Linked DNA regions of Oryzias latipes. The protein of the gene in region 2 interacts with the protein of the main gene of each other region in a pairwise test. Links are inferred from orthologs where the notes say so. Each region holds a gene or a part of one and is shown on either strand. Other genes may lie near its edges.

Region 1 (7,841 bases), on a different chromosome or scaffold from region 2:
ATATTTACAACTGTTACAGAAGGGTTTTTCTCAGCAAGTGTCAGCAAGCATGGGGGGGCTCAGCGCTGCAGAAGACTTGTTCCGGTGTGGTGCCGGTCCTGCTGTTCTAGCTAAAGTTCCTGAGAAACACCAGTCTGTGGGGCAGGAACGTCTCCCGGCACAGAGGACACTCGGCCTGAGGACAGGAGCACACATCAGCACGGGTCTTTAGCTCTAGCTTTGGCTCCTCTAGCTGGACCCAAGCATGTCTGCGGCCTCTTTCCTAGAGGAGCGTGCACGCATGCCTGCTCACCGACAGCAGGTCCAGGTCAGCTAGGATGGGATTTGTTTCAGAAACAAAGGAAGAATAAACATCTGCAAATCCTCAGGCGCCTCAGCAGACGGCCCAAAGCTTCATCTGCCATTGTTTTTAACAGGACTGTTGGACCGGGACCAGTGATGGTCTGAAGAAAACATTTACTTTCTCAACCTGAATGGGTTTCTCTGAACCTTATGCAGAAAGACACCATTGGTGAAGTAGAGCTCATCCTGAATGGACCGTTGACAGAAGGGGAAGAGTTTAAAACCCAAACAGAACTCCTCACACAGATTAGACCAGATTCCTTCATTGGGATTTTAAATAATTTAAGATTCATGTGAAAGTCCGTCTATCCTTCCGAAAATCAGAAATCATTGGACTCACATAATCCCCAGAGTACACACAGACTATTTAACCCACACTCTTCCAGCAGGTTCTTTCCTTTTCTCGACTTTAAAGTTTTGAAATGTATAGATGGTTCACGCTCACTAGAAAACATGGAAATATTTTTTAAGAATTAAGAACTGAAGGAAATATCCAAACTTCCTCCAGAGCTCTCTCCTTTTTACTCCACTTTTTCACCTCTCCCATGGTTTTTACATTGTTTTCTGCAGATTTCCCAAAAGTTTTACAGCATTTCTGAGTTTTTACTAATTTCCATTCATTCAATATTCAGAAGCTCAGAGCAGATGACATGACAAGCGGAGGGAGGGGCTGCCCAAATCCTCAAAGTAATCAAGTTTCTCATTAACATCAGGCCAATCCAATCAGCAAAAAGCATTTTTCCCAAACTTTGGCTTCTAGTATTTTAAAAATGGTTTGGAGGTTCAATGTTTGGAAACTTTGCCATTCCTTAACAGTTTTACATTTTTATAACTTTATTCGATTAAAAAAACAACAGTCAAATGTATTTAACGAGCATGGATGTGGTCGTTTACTGTGACATCAGCAGCATCGTTTTCTGTGGTTCTGGACCTCAGTCCAGCATCTTTCTTCATACTGCAGGTTTTTCTGCGTCTGTCAATCACATCTGTGAAAATGAACCTGAAACGGCCTGAACTGGATTTTCTGCAGGGAGCATCAGACCAGAACCCCCCGTGCAGAGTTTGTCCAAGAAGAATAAATGCTCCCCGTAGAATGAACCTTCTGCTTCATGCACACAAACACCCGGATGCTGATGCAGTGCAGACATACACTGTATAACCACAGTATTGGCTCACCCATCCAAATGATCAGAATCAGGTGTCCTAATAACTCATCCTGGTCACAGGTGTATAAAATCAAACCCTCAGCCATGCAGACTGTTTTTACAAACATTTGTGAAAGAATGGGCCGCTGTCAGTGAATCCAAGGGTGGAACTGTCATAGGATGCTACCTGTACAACACATCCAGTGGTGAAATGTCCTCTCTCCTGAATATTCCACAGTCAGCTGTCAGCTCTATCAGGACAACATGGAAGAGTTTGGGAACAACAGCAACTCAGCCACCAAGTGGTCGACCAGGTAACCTGATGGAGAGGAGTCAGAGGATGCTGAAGCTCAGAGTGCAAAGAGGTCACCCACTTTCTGCATAGTCAGCAGAGACTAAGATCCAGGCCTTCTCCACCAACATCAGTGTGTGACCTCACCTATGACCTTTTGGGAGAATGGTCAGACATTCCTAGAAACACTCCTCAACCTTGAGGACAGCCTTTCTAGAAGAGTTGGAGCTGTAACAGTTTCAAAAGGTGAACCCACATCACACTGAACTCTATGGTTAGGAATGGGACGGCACTTCAGTTCATATGGGAGTCAAGGCATGCGAGCCAATACTTTTGGTAATATACAGTCCCTGACAAAAGTCTTGTCGCTTATCCATTTTGTAGAAACAAAAGCCTATAACCTCACTTTTAATGAATCCACTGGTTTTAGAAATGTCTCATATGAAAGCTAAAACCCTCCCAAAATATGTTCAATATACTAAAATATAATTGCTTCACTGAAGAAAGATTGATCATTTAACCCTTGTGCTATCCTAGGCACATTAACGTTGGGAGTTGGGTCATCTAGACCCACTAGACAGAGCTCTGAACCTTTTTTCTTCAATGATTTGTGATCTTCACTGGTGTCCATGGATTAAATGAAATCTTTCCACCTTTATCCACCTTTGTCATGGTAGGGAGAACACCTCAATGGAAGGGGGGGGGGGGGGGGTCATCTAAGATAGCACAAGGGTCAATGAACACAGAAAGGTCACATTTTGGCAAGACAAAAGTTTTGTCGCCTTGTCATATGATGCACCCAATCCTAGATTACAGCCTCACCTGTGAGCAATTACTGATCAATCAATTAGTGGGTGTGTCTAAAAAGAACCCCAGCACACCAGGCCTTCACATCAACTGCAACCTGACCTCTGACAACATGCCTAAGATTCACCCTGAGACCAAAGCGTTGATTATCAAGAGACTGAAGACCAGATCCACTGCTGAGGTGGCTGACACCTTCAATGTGTCTCAGCGTCAAGTACAAAGAATAAGAAAAAGATTTGAAGAGACTAGAGATGTTGTTGACAAGCCGAGGTCCGGCAGACCCCACAAGACAACTGCTCAGGAGGACCGTTTGTTGGTTGGAAAATCCAAGGCCAGCCCCTTTTCCCCTGCAGCAGAGCTCCACCAGGCCTGGTCACCTCAAGCCCCTGTGTCAACCAGAACAGTTTGTAGAGTTCTATCTGAAAATGGCCTCCATGGTCCAAGCAGTGCCCAGAAACCAGCACTAAACAAAAGGCAATTGAAAAAAACGTGTGGCATTTGCCAAGGCCCAGAGCCTGCTAAAAGGATGGACGCTGGAAAAGTGGCAGACGGTGGAGATGAGTCTTCAGTTGAATTACATCACAGGAAACCAACTGGAGCCCGCATGGACTCAAGATTCACCCAGAAAACATTTAAGTTTGGTGGCAGAAAAATCATGGTCAGGGGTTACATCCTGTATGGGGGTGTGCGAAACATTTGCAGGGTGGAAGGCAATATCAATAGCCTAAAATATCAAGAAGTATTAGCTACCTCTTCCATTCCCAACCATAAAAGGGGTCAAATTCTGCAGCAGGATGGTGCTCCATCACATACTTCCATCTCTACATCAAAGTTCCTCAAGGCGAAGAAGATGAAGGTGCTCCAGGACCGGCCAGCCCAGTCACCAGACATGAACATCATTGAGCATGTCTGGGGTAGAATGAAAGAGGGAGCATGGAAGACCAAACCAAAGAATCTTGATGAACTCTGGGAGGCATGGAAGACTGCTTTCTTTGCTATTCCTGATGACTTCATCCATAAATTGTATGAATCATTGTCAAACCGCATGGATGCTGTCCTTCAAGCTCCTGGAAGTCATACAAGATATTAAATATGGATCTCACAGTAGCACTACTTAATTCACTGATGTTATGCAACATAATTTTGTTTTTGAAGTAAATTATTTGTTAAATTTTCACATTACTCTCTGTAGACAACAAAACTTTTGTCTTGCCAAAATGTGACCTTTCTGTGTTCATTAAATGATCAATCTTTCTTCAGTGAAGCAATTATATTTTAGTATATTGAACATAATTTGGGAGGGTTTTAGCTTTCATATGAGACATTTCTAAAACCAATGGATTCATTAACAGTGAGGTTATACGCTTTTGTTTCTACAAAATGGATAAGCGACAAGACTTTTGTCAGGGACTGTAGTGTACCGGGATGTTTAGGTCTTTTTTGGGAGAGGGGCAGTGTTGCTGCATGCTCTGTTTTTCAGGACGCCAGACCTACCTTGGTGTTGCACCACTCAGTTATGCACTCCCAGCAGAACAGGTGTCCACAGGGTGTGCAGGTGGAGTTCCTCCGGGCCTCCAGGCAGAGGATGCAGCGGGCGGCAGAAGGGGCGGGGCTCTGAGGGCGATCAGGACTGCAAACAAAGAGATCGCCTCACTGATGAAAACTGCTTCAAAGATAAAACAGTCTGTCAGTAACATAGACCTGACTCGGGGAGACAGACCTGAGGCTTCTGAAGAGCTTCCACTCCTGCCGGGCTCTCTGTCTCTGCCTGAAGCTGCCCACCTGCAGAGCCACGCTGCCGAGCAGCTGCAGGAGCGAAACAGCAGCCAGCAGCCTGTAGGTTGTCCTGATTGAGGCGTCGTCCCCGCGTAGGCCCTCCACCCGCAGCTGCACCACAGCAAAAGCCCATCACACCAACCTGTCTAACCTGCCCTCAGCTGCTGTGCACAAACATGATGCATCTCCTGCTGAAACTGTTTTTGCATCAGTATTTTGCCTCGTTCTCTGTTTCTGTTGCCATGGGTGACAGCCACCCCCCAGTATGTTTTGGAACGGTGCTGTTCATGGGAAAGGACCACCCTGACCTGCTTCAGGCCCAATAGCAGGAGCTTCCTTCTCCTTTCAGGAAATATCCTGACATTTTTAAAGGGAATGTTTAAGATGCTTGTGAGAGTTTGGATGTGATTTTCCTTCAAACATGTTCTGTCTGCGATTCCGTTGGTTACCTCGTTAAAGAACCAGTTTTCATCAGACAGATGGTCTGTATCGTTGCCATGCCCACAGTTTAGGAGGCAAAGTTGTGGTTTAAAAGACACATTTCAGATGTTTTTTATTGGCCGGGATCCGTCACGTGCCTTGCCCCCCCCCCCATGTGGTGCATGAAGGACTCACGTAGCTGATTCCAGCCGCTCTCTTTGACAGGTGGTAGAAGGAGCTGCTGAGGTAGAAGAGGGTGGTGTGGAGGCGGTGCACAAGCGCCACAGTCTGCTGTGCGATGCCCACAGCTGAAAGCCACACCCTCCTCTGCTCCCCTGTCAGTAGGCACACCCCCCTCTGCACCCACAGCCTCAGCCAGCAGCTTAGGCCCCACCCAGCCGATGCTGCCCGCCGCCTGCCATCCTGACTGCCTTCCAGCTCGTTCTCCAGACACACCAGCAGCTTGTCCAGCAGGTACGGAAAGAAGGCATGGAACAGGACAAAGAGACTGCGCCTGGCCCGGGAGGGAATCTGCCGTTTGGAGGGGTCCACCTGCACGATGTTGACATACTCCTCCCCCAACGTCTGAAAACCTGTGAGGCCAAACCCACACCTGAGTTGCGTCAATAGAGGCCGCCTTCATGTCTGACAGATAAAGCTTACCTGAGAGTGTGGTCAGACTAAGGTAAGTCACGTCAGACAGAAGCTCCACCTCCTTCCTCCAGTGCAGCCAGAGTCTGGATCCTAAACACACACCAGACCGCGTCAGCTCACTGACCCAACACCTCCTGATGGAGGAAAGAAAGCTGAAAATTTCAGGCCCTCAGACAGGTGTGTCCGGTCTGCTGCTGAGCTCCTGGACGTGAGTTCAGCCAATCAGACGCTTGGAGGGCAGAGGTAACTGAGAAGAAGCAGGGCAGTGGCACCAAGAACAGTCTGGACCAGGGTCCCAGAATCCAGGCCTACATGTTTTCCAACCAACCTGACATTGAAGCTCCTTATTGGCTAAACACACCTGATCCAGGTAATCAGCAATAAGGCAGGGATTCTGGAAAACCAGCAGGCCACCGGCCCTCGAGGCCTGGATTTGGGGACCCCTGGTCTGGACAGTCTGAAGAAAACTACCAACCAGGAAAACTTAAAGATCAAAGACGCCTACAGATGGATTCAAAAAACAAAAAAATATGGACCGTCAAACCCTAAAGACTTTGTTAGTCAGTTAGAATTGCTGCATTTCAGAATGTTTAGAAAGTCCCATCACAGTAAAGGTTTTCACTTTGACGGTTTCACGGCGGTCCTTTTGACTGCTTCAAACTTTTCAGCATCAAAACTGTTACAAAAATAATATGAACCAAAAGGACCCTGACTTTTCCTAAATGTGTGTGTGTTTTATTCTATCATTGTTTTGTGATAAAAATGTCAAACAACAATTTCCCAATCTTTCTCTCATTTGTTTTTCTTTGTCCAGTGACGCTAAAATCTATTTGAAGCCTCATTTTAAACCCAAGATACTAAAATGACTGTTAATGTTCAATCAGAAAAGGCCAGATAGATGACTGTGAACAAACTAAATCAGGCTCTAATGTTTTGGTGACTCAAACCTTATAGGTATTTATCAAACAGTGTCTTGGTGCCTTTAGACCTGTTCTCCTAATATTCTTCGATGTTTCAGTGTTCTCCAAACTACAGTCTACACAGAATGACCACAGCAGTCAGAATGGTCTAGTTGTGGAATTCCGGGGGCCGGCAAAATGGCGGCGTGACCGGTTTGTTTATATCGAGCTCCGAGCACCTAACTTTTTTATTGAGCTTTTTTGAAGCAGCAAGATTTTGCCTTTTCTCTAAAACGACCGGGGAACGTTGTGGATTGAAGTTTTTGGATACTTTTTAAAAATTCCCACCATTCAAAATGCCAAAACCTCCTAAAAGAAGCGAATCTTCAAAAGAAAAACAAAGCTCCGCTACCTTGTTACTAGCCGACGAGCACGACTACTCCGGCAGCAGCATGGACATACCCGTGACTTCAGAGGAAGAATTTCCTTCACTCCCAGTGACCCCAAGTAAGCCTCCTCTTGCTAAAAGGCCTACTTTGCCCTGGTCTATGAAATCGGATGAAGCAGTCAACATGCTCGCCGATCTGATCAACTCAAGAAGCGATGCTCTTGAAAAAATGGTTGAAACTGTCCGTTCCGAAATTAAACTCATAAATGACAAAGTTGATGCTATGGAACAACGTGTGGAAAAAAATGAGGAATATACATCGAAATGCTTGGCACGGGTTGCAGATGTGGAAGCTTATGGTCGACGATGGAATCTGAGGCTCTACGGTCTTCCTGAGGCTGAAGAGGAAAACGTGCGTGAGGAGGTGATAAACATTCGCCAGCATGTTCTGCCCTCAGAAAAAAAAAAGTTTCCCGATGCTGTTGATGTCGCTCATCGGATGGGAAGAAAACGCCAGGAGGACCCGAGGCCTCGAGGGGTTCTGATCAGATTCATCTCCCGGCGTCTGAAGGAAGAGGTTTGGAGAGCGGCCAAGAAGAACGGGTTTCTCCAAGCCAAAGGCCTGCACTTCAACGAGGACCTAACTAAAGAGGACAGGGAGAATCGGCAGGAGCTGTGGCTGAAAATCAAGAAAGCACGCGAGGAGGGAAAGGCGGCTTACTTCGTGGGAGGCCGTGGATTTATTAATGGATCAGAAATTCACCCGTGATTAAAGAAAGGAAAGAAAAATGAATGAAGAAGAGAGATTTTTTTTGTTTTGTTTTTATTTTTTTTGTTTTTCTCCAACCATGTGAGGGGTCCAGTATGTTCTCATCTGTATTCTCAGGACATTTTCCCCCTCCCAAATCCCTTTTCAATTTTTTATTTGAGATGATTCCCTCTTGTTTTGTTTTTATGGGGGGGTCACAAAGGAAGGAGGAAGAAGGGGCGGAAAGGAAAAAAGGGGAGGAAAGGGGAAAAAAAAGGAGTTTAACATTTTTTTTTCTCCTAAAGCTGCTAAAATTTATTTTGGTGCTGTTCTCGATATTGCACTGTTTGTTAACTAACTTTATAGTTTT
Region 2 (8,274 bases):
TGTGATGTTGGTTCTGATTCTCCGTTTCCTTTATTTTATTTTTTTTAGTGGGCTTCTTGTTACCTTCGTCAATAAAGCAGTTCCCACAGTGTTTGCAGTGCTGCAGTGTTCTGACCCACACGCTGCACGGTCCAGGGTCCACTCACACCAGGGACATGCACTTTCTGCCTCAAAGTCCGGGTGTTCACTAATAATTACCCCTGTCAACAAACACCTTTGTACGGTGGCCCTGAAGGGCAAATGACACCAACTGTCACTCCATGCAATTTTGTCCAACCGGCGATGTCTCACAGTACCTCCCCTTTTCTTTATGGTTTCATTTTTTAACGTTTCATTATGATTTCTGGAAATCAGAAACGTTTTTTGGGCGGAATTTTGTTTGCATTTCCAAAACGATTTTGTTCATTAATTTCCTTTTTTCATTGTCATGATCTTTATTGTTTTATGTTGAGTGATTTGCACTTTAGGGCCACCGTACCTTTTCCCCCCCCAAATATTTTATTTCAAACAAAGAACCCCCTGTCCATTTCCCAGTATTGTAATGTCACAATAGCATTTCTGTTCATTGTTTTTTTTATTCTGTTGTGATCTTTCATATACTTTTCAATAAAAAAAGAGCAAATCCATCCATTTTCTTGCACAGGGAGAACATGCAACCCCCACCCAGAAAGGTCCCGCCTGGGATTTGAACCAGAGCCTTCTTTTCTGGGGGCAAACATGCAAACCACTGTCACCATGCAGCCCCAAAACAAATGTCTAGAAAAAAAAGTGATTCAGAAAAAAGAGACAAAATAAAAGGGAAACATTTCGAAAAACAAAGTAATTTCCAGAAATCAGAATGAAACACTAAAAAATGAGGCAGAAGAAGAAAGTGGGAGGTACTACTGTGTGGGACGGCACTGATGTTTGTTCCCCTTTTCACCCGATAGTCATTTGGCACGAGGTGCCCTAAATCAAAAACATGGAAGTTACTCGTCAGGAGCGGAGAGAGCTTGTTGGAAGTCCACACCCCTTTGAAAGCGAGCTACAAGAACACAGTCGATCAAGCATTTCGAACCACTTACTTTTAATAAGGCATCTGATTGGACGGTTTGTAACTTGAAGAAACAAAAAAATGAGGACAATCAGGTTTATGTTGGAAAAAGATATCAGATCCAGAACGGTTCTTCTGACCAATAGAATGAGTAACAGCTGTTTATTTCTCTATAGAAGGAATTTTGGCTTCTTGGACCAGCAGGTACTTCCTGTTTGAAACGCCAAAGGGGAGGAGTCACTCAGTCCTGTTCTCATTTGCAGTCAATGGTTCTACAACAGAGATCATAGCAGAAAACACTTTGATCTTATTCAGAACTTCTTTATTGCCTCATCAAAAGCATTTCTTCCTTCATTTGTTGGTGAAATAGATCAAATGGACTCTGAGCGCCGGACAGGGAGGAGCCAAAACTGATTGAGCTCAGTTCAATAAAGATTGACGCTTGGGGCGGGACTTTCATTTCAGACGGTGGCGTTCAGGGCCAGTTCGAAAAGCCTACGGCTTGGTGATTTTATTTCTCAGCAGCGGACGCGTGAGTCCAGCGGGAGGCGCCGTCGCTCTAACCCTCAGGCGCGTAGATCTTAATGAGGTGTTGAGGTGCGCTGGGGAAGCCTGTGACGGGGCAGCAGCGGTGCTCCTTCACGTGCGCGTAGATGCACGGGTAGCAGAAGACGAAGCTGGAGGTGGACAGCGCCGTGGCATTGGCGCACAACTTGTGGCAGAGCGGGCAGCTCCGGCTGTTCGAGTCCTGCTGCAGGTGGAGGGGGGGCGGGGGTGCAGGCAGGGACGTGAGACCCCTCACGGTGCTCTGGTTGTCTGGCGAGTACCACCACTCCAGGAACTGCAAGAAGAAGACGCCCATGGACAGGAAGGTGGACAGAGAGGTGGCCACGCCCCTCGCCGCCTGTGACATCATCCAACCGACCCTGCAGCCAAACAGAAACATGGTTAAGAACATTTTTTTTCTGCCACTTTGGACCTAAACCTCTAAAACCAGGACAGAACTGGGTCTACCTGCTGTGAGCGGGGTCGTCAGACCCCTCGATGTTTCGGAAATCTGCAGCAGTCAGTCGGGTCAGTCGGACCCTGGCCAGCCAGAGCAGCGGGCTGTGGGTTCTGGAGGATCCAAAGACGAAGAGCAGCTGCTGGCAGAAGACCCAGACGCGCCACGCCGAGCTGATGTACGGGAACGCCGCCACCGCCGCGCTGTACAGCCTCCGTGTCCTCGACCGTGCCAACTGGATGGAGAAGTCCTCCTCATCCCTCTGCCGGACCAGCCGGGCCTCCAGTTTGGCCCGCAGGTACGGAACCAGGCACAGCAAAAGAAGAGAGCGCCAGTGGGCGGGACGGCGCAGCCCCTTGTGCACAGGACGTTCCCGCCCTTCTGACACTCTCTTTAAGCCGTAAAAGTTCTCAGAAAAGGAGGCGCTGTAGCGGGACAAGAAGTGGTTCTGGAGCAGCAGGTCCAGAAGCAAGTAGAGCTCATCAAAAGTCCTCCACAGACAGCCAAAGCGGGCCGGGCTGGACTCCGCCAGAACCTGAAGCGGTCAGAGAGTCAGAGCTGGCGTTCTTCTAGTGAGGAGCCAGAACTATTGGAGCCTCACCTTGACGGCGTGCTGCACCGCCGGACGGACGGCCTCCAGCAGCGACTCCTGGGCCAGAACCTCAAAGATGGACGGCTGCTCACCGATGGAGGTGGAGGTGAGATGGGCCCCCGCCTCGGCCATGGCTGCCGGCCTGAGGGACCAAACCACTGGATGTTAGAGGAACGGTGCAGGTGGGTCCAGAACCAGAACAGACTGGGTCCAATTTTTACCAAACTGTACAGCTAGATGGCTCTGATGTTGCTCGCCATTTTCTGCTAGTGTTAGGTTGGGGGTGTGAGGGACAGAGTGTTGACAAAAAGGTCTATGTTATATGTGATGGAAACGGGGGGCGGGGTTGCTGTGCACCACAGTTCAGAGGGGAATTTCTAATGAACTCCTGCCACTCTGCAGGAACTATGTCCTAGAAAACGACAGATTTTTTAAAAATTTTAGTCAAAAACAACATAATGGTGAATAGATCAAAAAATGATCGGAGCGGGAAAACTAAGAACTGTTCTAAGAGGTTTTTTATAAGATGGACCAGGTTCCCATTAGAAATCTCTGCATGAACTTTATTAAGGTCACTTTGTTACCGTTTCCTGTGAGTCCACAGGCCCACTTGAGAGTCTGCAGGCCCACCTCTGAATCCACAGGCCCACCTGAGAGTCTGCAGGCCCACCTGTGAATCCACAGGCCTACCTGTGAATCCACAGGCCCACCTGAGAGTCTGCAGGCCCACCTGTGAATCCACAGGCCTACCTGTGAATCCACAGGCCCACCTCTGAATCCATAGGCCCACCTGTGAATCCACAGGCCCACCTGTGAATCCACAGGCCCACCTGAGAGTCCACAGGCCCACCTGAGAGTCTGCAGGCCCACCTGTGAATCCACAGGCCCACCTCTGAATCCATAGGCCCACCTGTGAATCCACAGGCCCACCTGTGAATCCACAGGCCCACCTGAGAGTCCACAGGCCCACCTGAGAGTCTGCAGGCCCACCTGAGAGTCTGCAGGCCCACCTGTGAATCCACAGGCCTACCTGTGAATCCACAGGCCCACCTGAGAGTCTGCAGGCCCACCTGTGAATCCACAGGCCCACCTGAGAGTCTGCAGGCCCACCTGTGAATCCACAGGCCCACCTCTGAATCCATAGGCCCACCTGTGAATCCACAGGCCAACCTGTGAATCCACAGGCCCACCTGAGAGTCTGCAGGCCCACCTGTGAATCCACAGGCCCACCTGTGTGACCACGTACAACATGTTTTTTTCTGTTTCTTCTGCTGTCTTCTGTTAGAAAAACTTTGTCCCTGACTTGAAAAAATGTTTGGACAGTGCCTCAGAAATGATTCATTGAGAATCAATGAATTCCTACATAGAATCTACTCCACTAATCAGTTCATGTAAAGATTTAAAACATGTCAATACAACTGTACACTCTGTAAAACAAACCCAGAAACAATTAGTGACTTATTTAGAGAGTGAGATATTACCTAAAAAAAAAAAGAATGTATGAAAACAACACAAAATTGAACATAAAAATTGCAATTGACATCCATTCATTCATCTTCTTAACCGTTTTATTCCCTTTCGGGGTCACGGGGTTGCCGGAGCCTATCCCAGCCACTTTGGCGTGGGCAAGGGATGCCCTGGACTGGCGACCAGTCTGTCGCAGGGTAGAATATCCTCAATCAGACATCCATTCACTCTCACACTCACACCTATGGACAATTTAGAGTTGCCAATCAACCTATGCAATTGACATCCAGTACAGACCAAAGGTTTGGACACACCTTCCCATTCATTTAAATGAGGTCTGTACTGTATAGATTCTATTTTTTTCAGTCTCATCTACACAAAGCTACATTCTCTTCATCCCAACTTTTTTCCCTGTAAGAATTCAAGCAATAGAATCTCACCATTTCCCATAGTGTTAAACAAAATAATCATAAATACATATTGTCTGCCTATGAACAGTTTTAATTTATTATGATGCATGTTTTGTATTCATATGCCATCTCCTAGCATTTTAATAGTTCCATTTGTTCTGTATGTTTGCTGTAGTTTGCACATTTTAACAACAACAACAATCTACCGTGCCAAACACGTTCTCTTTTTAAGGCACATGGATGTCTGGACATGCGCAGTCGCGATCAGAACTTTTTGCGATTCTTTCACTTCAACTGAACTCAGATCCGAACAGAACCGGCTCAAAAGCCACGTTACAGCTGTGTGAGTGACTTATGGTATGCCTGATCAGTACCAACCCGGTCCGGTTCGAGGCGGGAACACTAAGATAAAAAGAAAAAAACAAACAAACCGGGCCGGGTTCACGCCCTCAGCATCAGAACTGGACTGTTGGTATCGATCCCAACCACGGCGTTGGAGGCTCCTTGCAGAGATTCGGATCGGTTCTGGTGATTTGGTTTTGTTTCTTCCGCCTTCTCTTCTTCTCTGAACTGTCAGCTTTCATCAGCGTTGCTGCCACCTGCTGGACAGAGGCGGAAGCGCAGGGCGGGACGTCTGCAGTTCATTTCAACCAGACGTTCCAACAGAAACTTCCCGAGTTTTTCAGCTTTTGTCTGCAAGCACATCGTCTAATAATTCCTTTTCTATCCTTATTGCTTTGCTAAAAAAGAAAAAAAAAGGTAAATGTGCTTTAAGAAGACTTGCATTGTTATTTTAAAGATAGAATCATGCGTAGATAAAGTGAAACACTTTTTTTTATCCATCCTTCAATCTTTTTTTGTTTTCATCAACTATGGAAAACCTGATCTACTATTATCCATAATTAATAATGTTATGCTTAGATCTGCTTGTTAGTATAAATTATTTATGTGTATTTATTCATAAACCAAAACATTTTCACAACAAAAAAACAGTCACTTTGCATCAGACTGTTGCGGTGCTCTATTTTTTTTTCTTTTTATAATTTTCCGCCAGGTTCTTTCCTCCTCATTTGGTCAAAATCCAAACAGGCCAAGAATAATTTATATTTTACTGTTATAATTTAACTGTTTATGCTTTTTATTGCTTTTTTGACGTTGTCATGTCCTGTGCCATGGAGTGTGGTCATGTTTAGGCTCAATACGATTTTTAGCAAAGCAACCCCTTAACCACCCCAAATATATAACAGCGTAAATGTAATGCTTTATTTTAAAATAAACTTTAATTGTACAAAATGTTGTTGCATGTCATCCCTTCCCATTTAACATTTAATGTGTTTCATGTATGTCTCGTTTGTGTTAAAAATGTGACACAAAACCGCACTGAAAAGATAAGTCGTTGAGGTACGCAGTAGCACCGTCTCAACAGAGAGGGCGCTGGTGAACTCGTTTGTTCCACATTTGTTACTAATAAAGTTTATTCAATGAGAGCCAGTATTTTGTGGCTGTGTCTGAATTCCTACCCTACTCCTTAACTACTAAAAAACTACACAGTACAGCACTATGTAGTGCTCTGGATTTTAAAAGTAATTTGGACACCATGCTCACTACTTTTTTTTTTAACGGCAAATATGTCGTCATCAATTTCAAGAATTCGAAATCTAATTGATATGAGAGTTTTGTAACGATTATTCACGAGTCCAATGTCTTCTGCAGAGAAAAACTTTCACATTTTTCCTCTCTCTTCTCCCTCTGTAAGAAAAGAGAAAGAAAATATATATTAAAATATAATTTGTAATAAATAAATAAATAAAATAAAAAAAGGGGCTTATCCAAATATATTCAATTCAATTCAATTCAATTTTATTTGTATAGCCCAAAATCACAACAACAGTCGTCTCGATGGGCTATACACCCTTATCCGAAGATACATACATAACCCCCTTATTGTAGTAAAACCTGTCCAAAGGAAATGGCCGCCAGCTCTCATCTGTTTGCTCAGTTGTTGGAAAGAACAAGTTAAAAGAAAAAGAAAAAAGATTCAAAGGTGGACTTTGATTTATAACATTAAGTAATAATTAATGGATGGCCGACGCTGAGCACACATCTTTATTGAGACTTCTGTAACGGAAAGAAGATAAGAAGGGTTTTTTACGTTAAAGTCACAGAGATTTTTGTCCAGAAGGAGACACGAATGGACTTCATTTACAAGTAAAGGTTTGACCAGTGTGTGTGTGTGTGTGTGTGTGTGTACTGTTGCTTACTTTGCCTTTTCTGACTTTTAGTCAAAGTTCCTTGAGTTTTTGTAATTTCATGTGGTGAATCAGGGTCTATGTTTACGGGGACAAAAAGAATAAAGTATCCACGTTTTATGATCTTTTCTGAAGTATTTTGGTGGATCTACAGCTCCTGTCTTACTTCCCATTACTTTTAGTATAGTTCATGTGGATCTAAAAAGGAACCATAGGCACAATTTACATAATTTACACAAACTTCTTTCCATTCTGGCTTTAGTAGGTGACTTCTAAACAGACATGACAACACGGTTTATGCATTTTGCACAGATGCTTTTAATACAAATTAAATATGGGGCTTTCTGGTAGGACTTACAAAAAACTGGGAGCAGTGATACAAATCAAATCAATTTTGAACATGCAATATAATTTGCCAAGATGATGCTTCGCTGCAGGCAGTGTTGTGCATTTTTGTCTTGCATACCTGGAAGATGGGAATTCACTGGTGCAACTTTAACACAAATCCAAAAGAAGATAAAAACATCACAAAAACTGGTAGAAAGTGTTTGTATTTTCTGTTTTAGTAAATATGTTTACATTAGACAGAAAGAATTAGGAATTGCAATTGTTGAGCTTGATATGGAACCAGTCATGGTAACAAAAGCTGACACAGTTGTGTTTTTCTTTTTTTGCTGCAGGGAAAAAGGGGAAATAGTGCGCTGCAGTGGTCTGAGTGCTCCACTCCTGTGTTCAAATGACAGAAATCAACCGTAACTTGTGATAACTGGAAATCAGACCATTTCAGGGGCTGGAGTCTGTTTGTTTGTTCCAGCAGCCTTTGCGCTTATTCCACAATCTCCTTTGCACCAATTTGACGTGCACGATCCTTAGCTTGTGGTTCCCCATTGCTGCTGTTTGAGCAGTCATTCCTAAATGGACGGCATTTTATCGGAGCTTCTTCATCTCTTCTATTTTTTAGTATTGAAGGCATCAAACATGCAGATATCTATTGGACAATCATGAATTCATCACTGAGTAATGCAAGGTCAGACTTCAGGAGGCAAGTTTTCAGATCTTATTGCATGAGGTGTGGGACACGTTTTCCTCGAGAGATTCAGGAGGCAGTTTTATAGTAAAATGAGATTGTTTTGTTAATAATTAATGATGTCGCTAATTAAATAAAAAATACATCTGGAAACGAAATGTTGCCCAATTTCAAAAGACTAAAAGCTTTATTAGGGTTTAAACAACGTCTGGGACCATAACTTCTAAGCTTTTACATCTTTGACTTCTTCCAACTCCAAAAGATATTTACTCAACGAAGCGATAAATCTTCAGATCTCTGACGTTAAAAGGAAAGACAACTGTCATGAAACACAGCAGCAACTGTCATAAATTCTGGATTCACAATAAAAATCCTTATGATGATCATCAGAAAGGTTGGAGCCCCAGTCATCATGATCATCGGGCTTTGCTAATCAAGACGGAGGACTCTGGGACTCTGTGTCCCAGTTCTTCCGGCGGTTCCGCTTCCTGTT

Evidence for each region.
Region 1: the proteins of pex12 (region 2) and pex10 interact in a two-hybrid assay, tested with the Homo sapiens proteins (4 studies listed by BioGRID, with this or other methods). The link is inferred for Oryzias latipes from reciprocal best matches to the Homo sapiens genes PEX12 and PEX10.

Annotation. Positions count from the first base shown.
Region 1 is NC_019865.2:33,557,038-33,564,878, reverse strand, and holds part of pex10 (peroxisome biogenesis factor 10), read right to left. Parts: intron 5,527-7,841; coding exon 5,446-5,526; intron 5,376-5,445; coding exon 4,978-5,375; intron 4,474-4,977; coding exon 4,307-4,473; intron 4,217-4,306; coding exon 4,081-4,216; intron 176-4,080; coding exon 107-175; 3' UTR 1-106.
Region 2 is NC_019866.2:23,910,060-23,918,333, forward strand, and holds pex12 (peroxisome assembly protein 12), read right to left. Parts: upstream 5,202-8,274; 5' UTR 4,937-5,201; intron 2,771-4,936; 5' UTR 2,761-2,770; coding exon 2,638-2,760; intron 2,572-2,637; coding exon 2,048-2,571; intron 1,960-2,047; coding exon 1,593-1,959; 3' UTR 1,046-1,592; downstream 1-1,045. Other genes in the region: insulin-like growth factor-binding protein complex acid labile subunit, read right to left, coding at 8,215-8,274. UniProt on the Homo sapiens protein: Component of a retrotranslocation channel required for peroxisome organization by mediating export of the PEX5 receptor from peroxisomes to the cytosol, thereby promoting PEX5 recycling.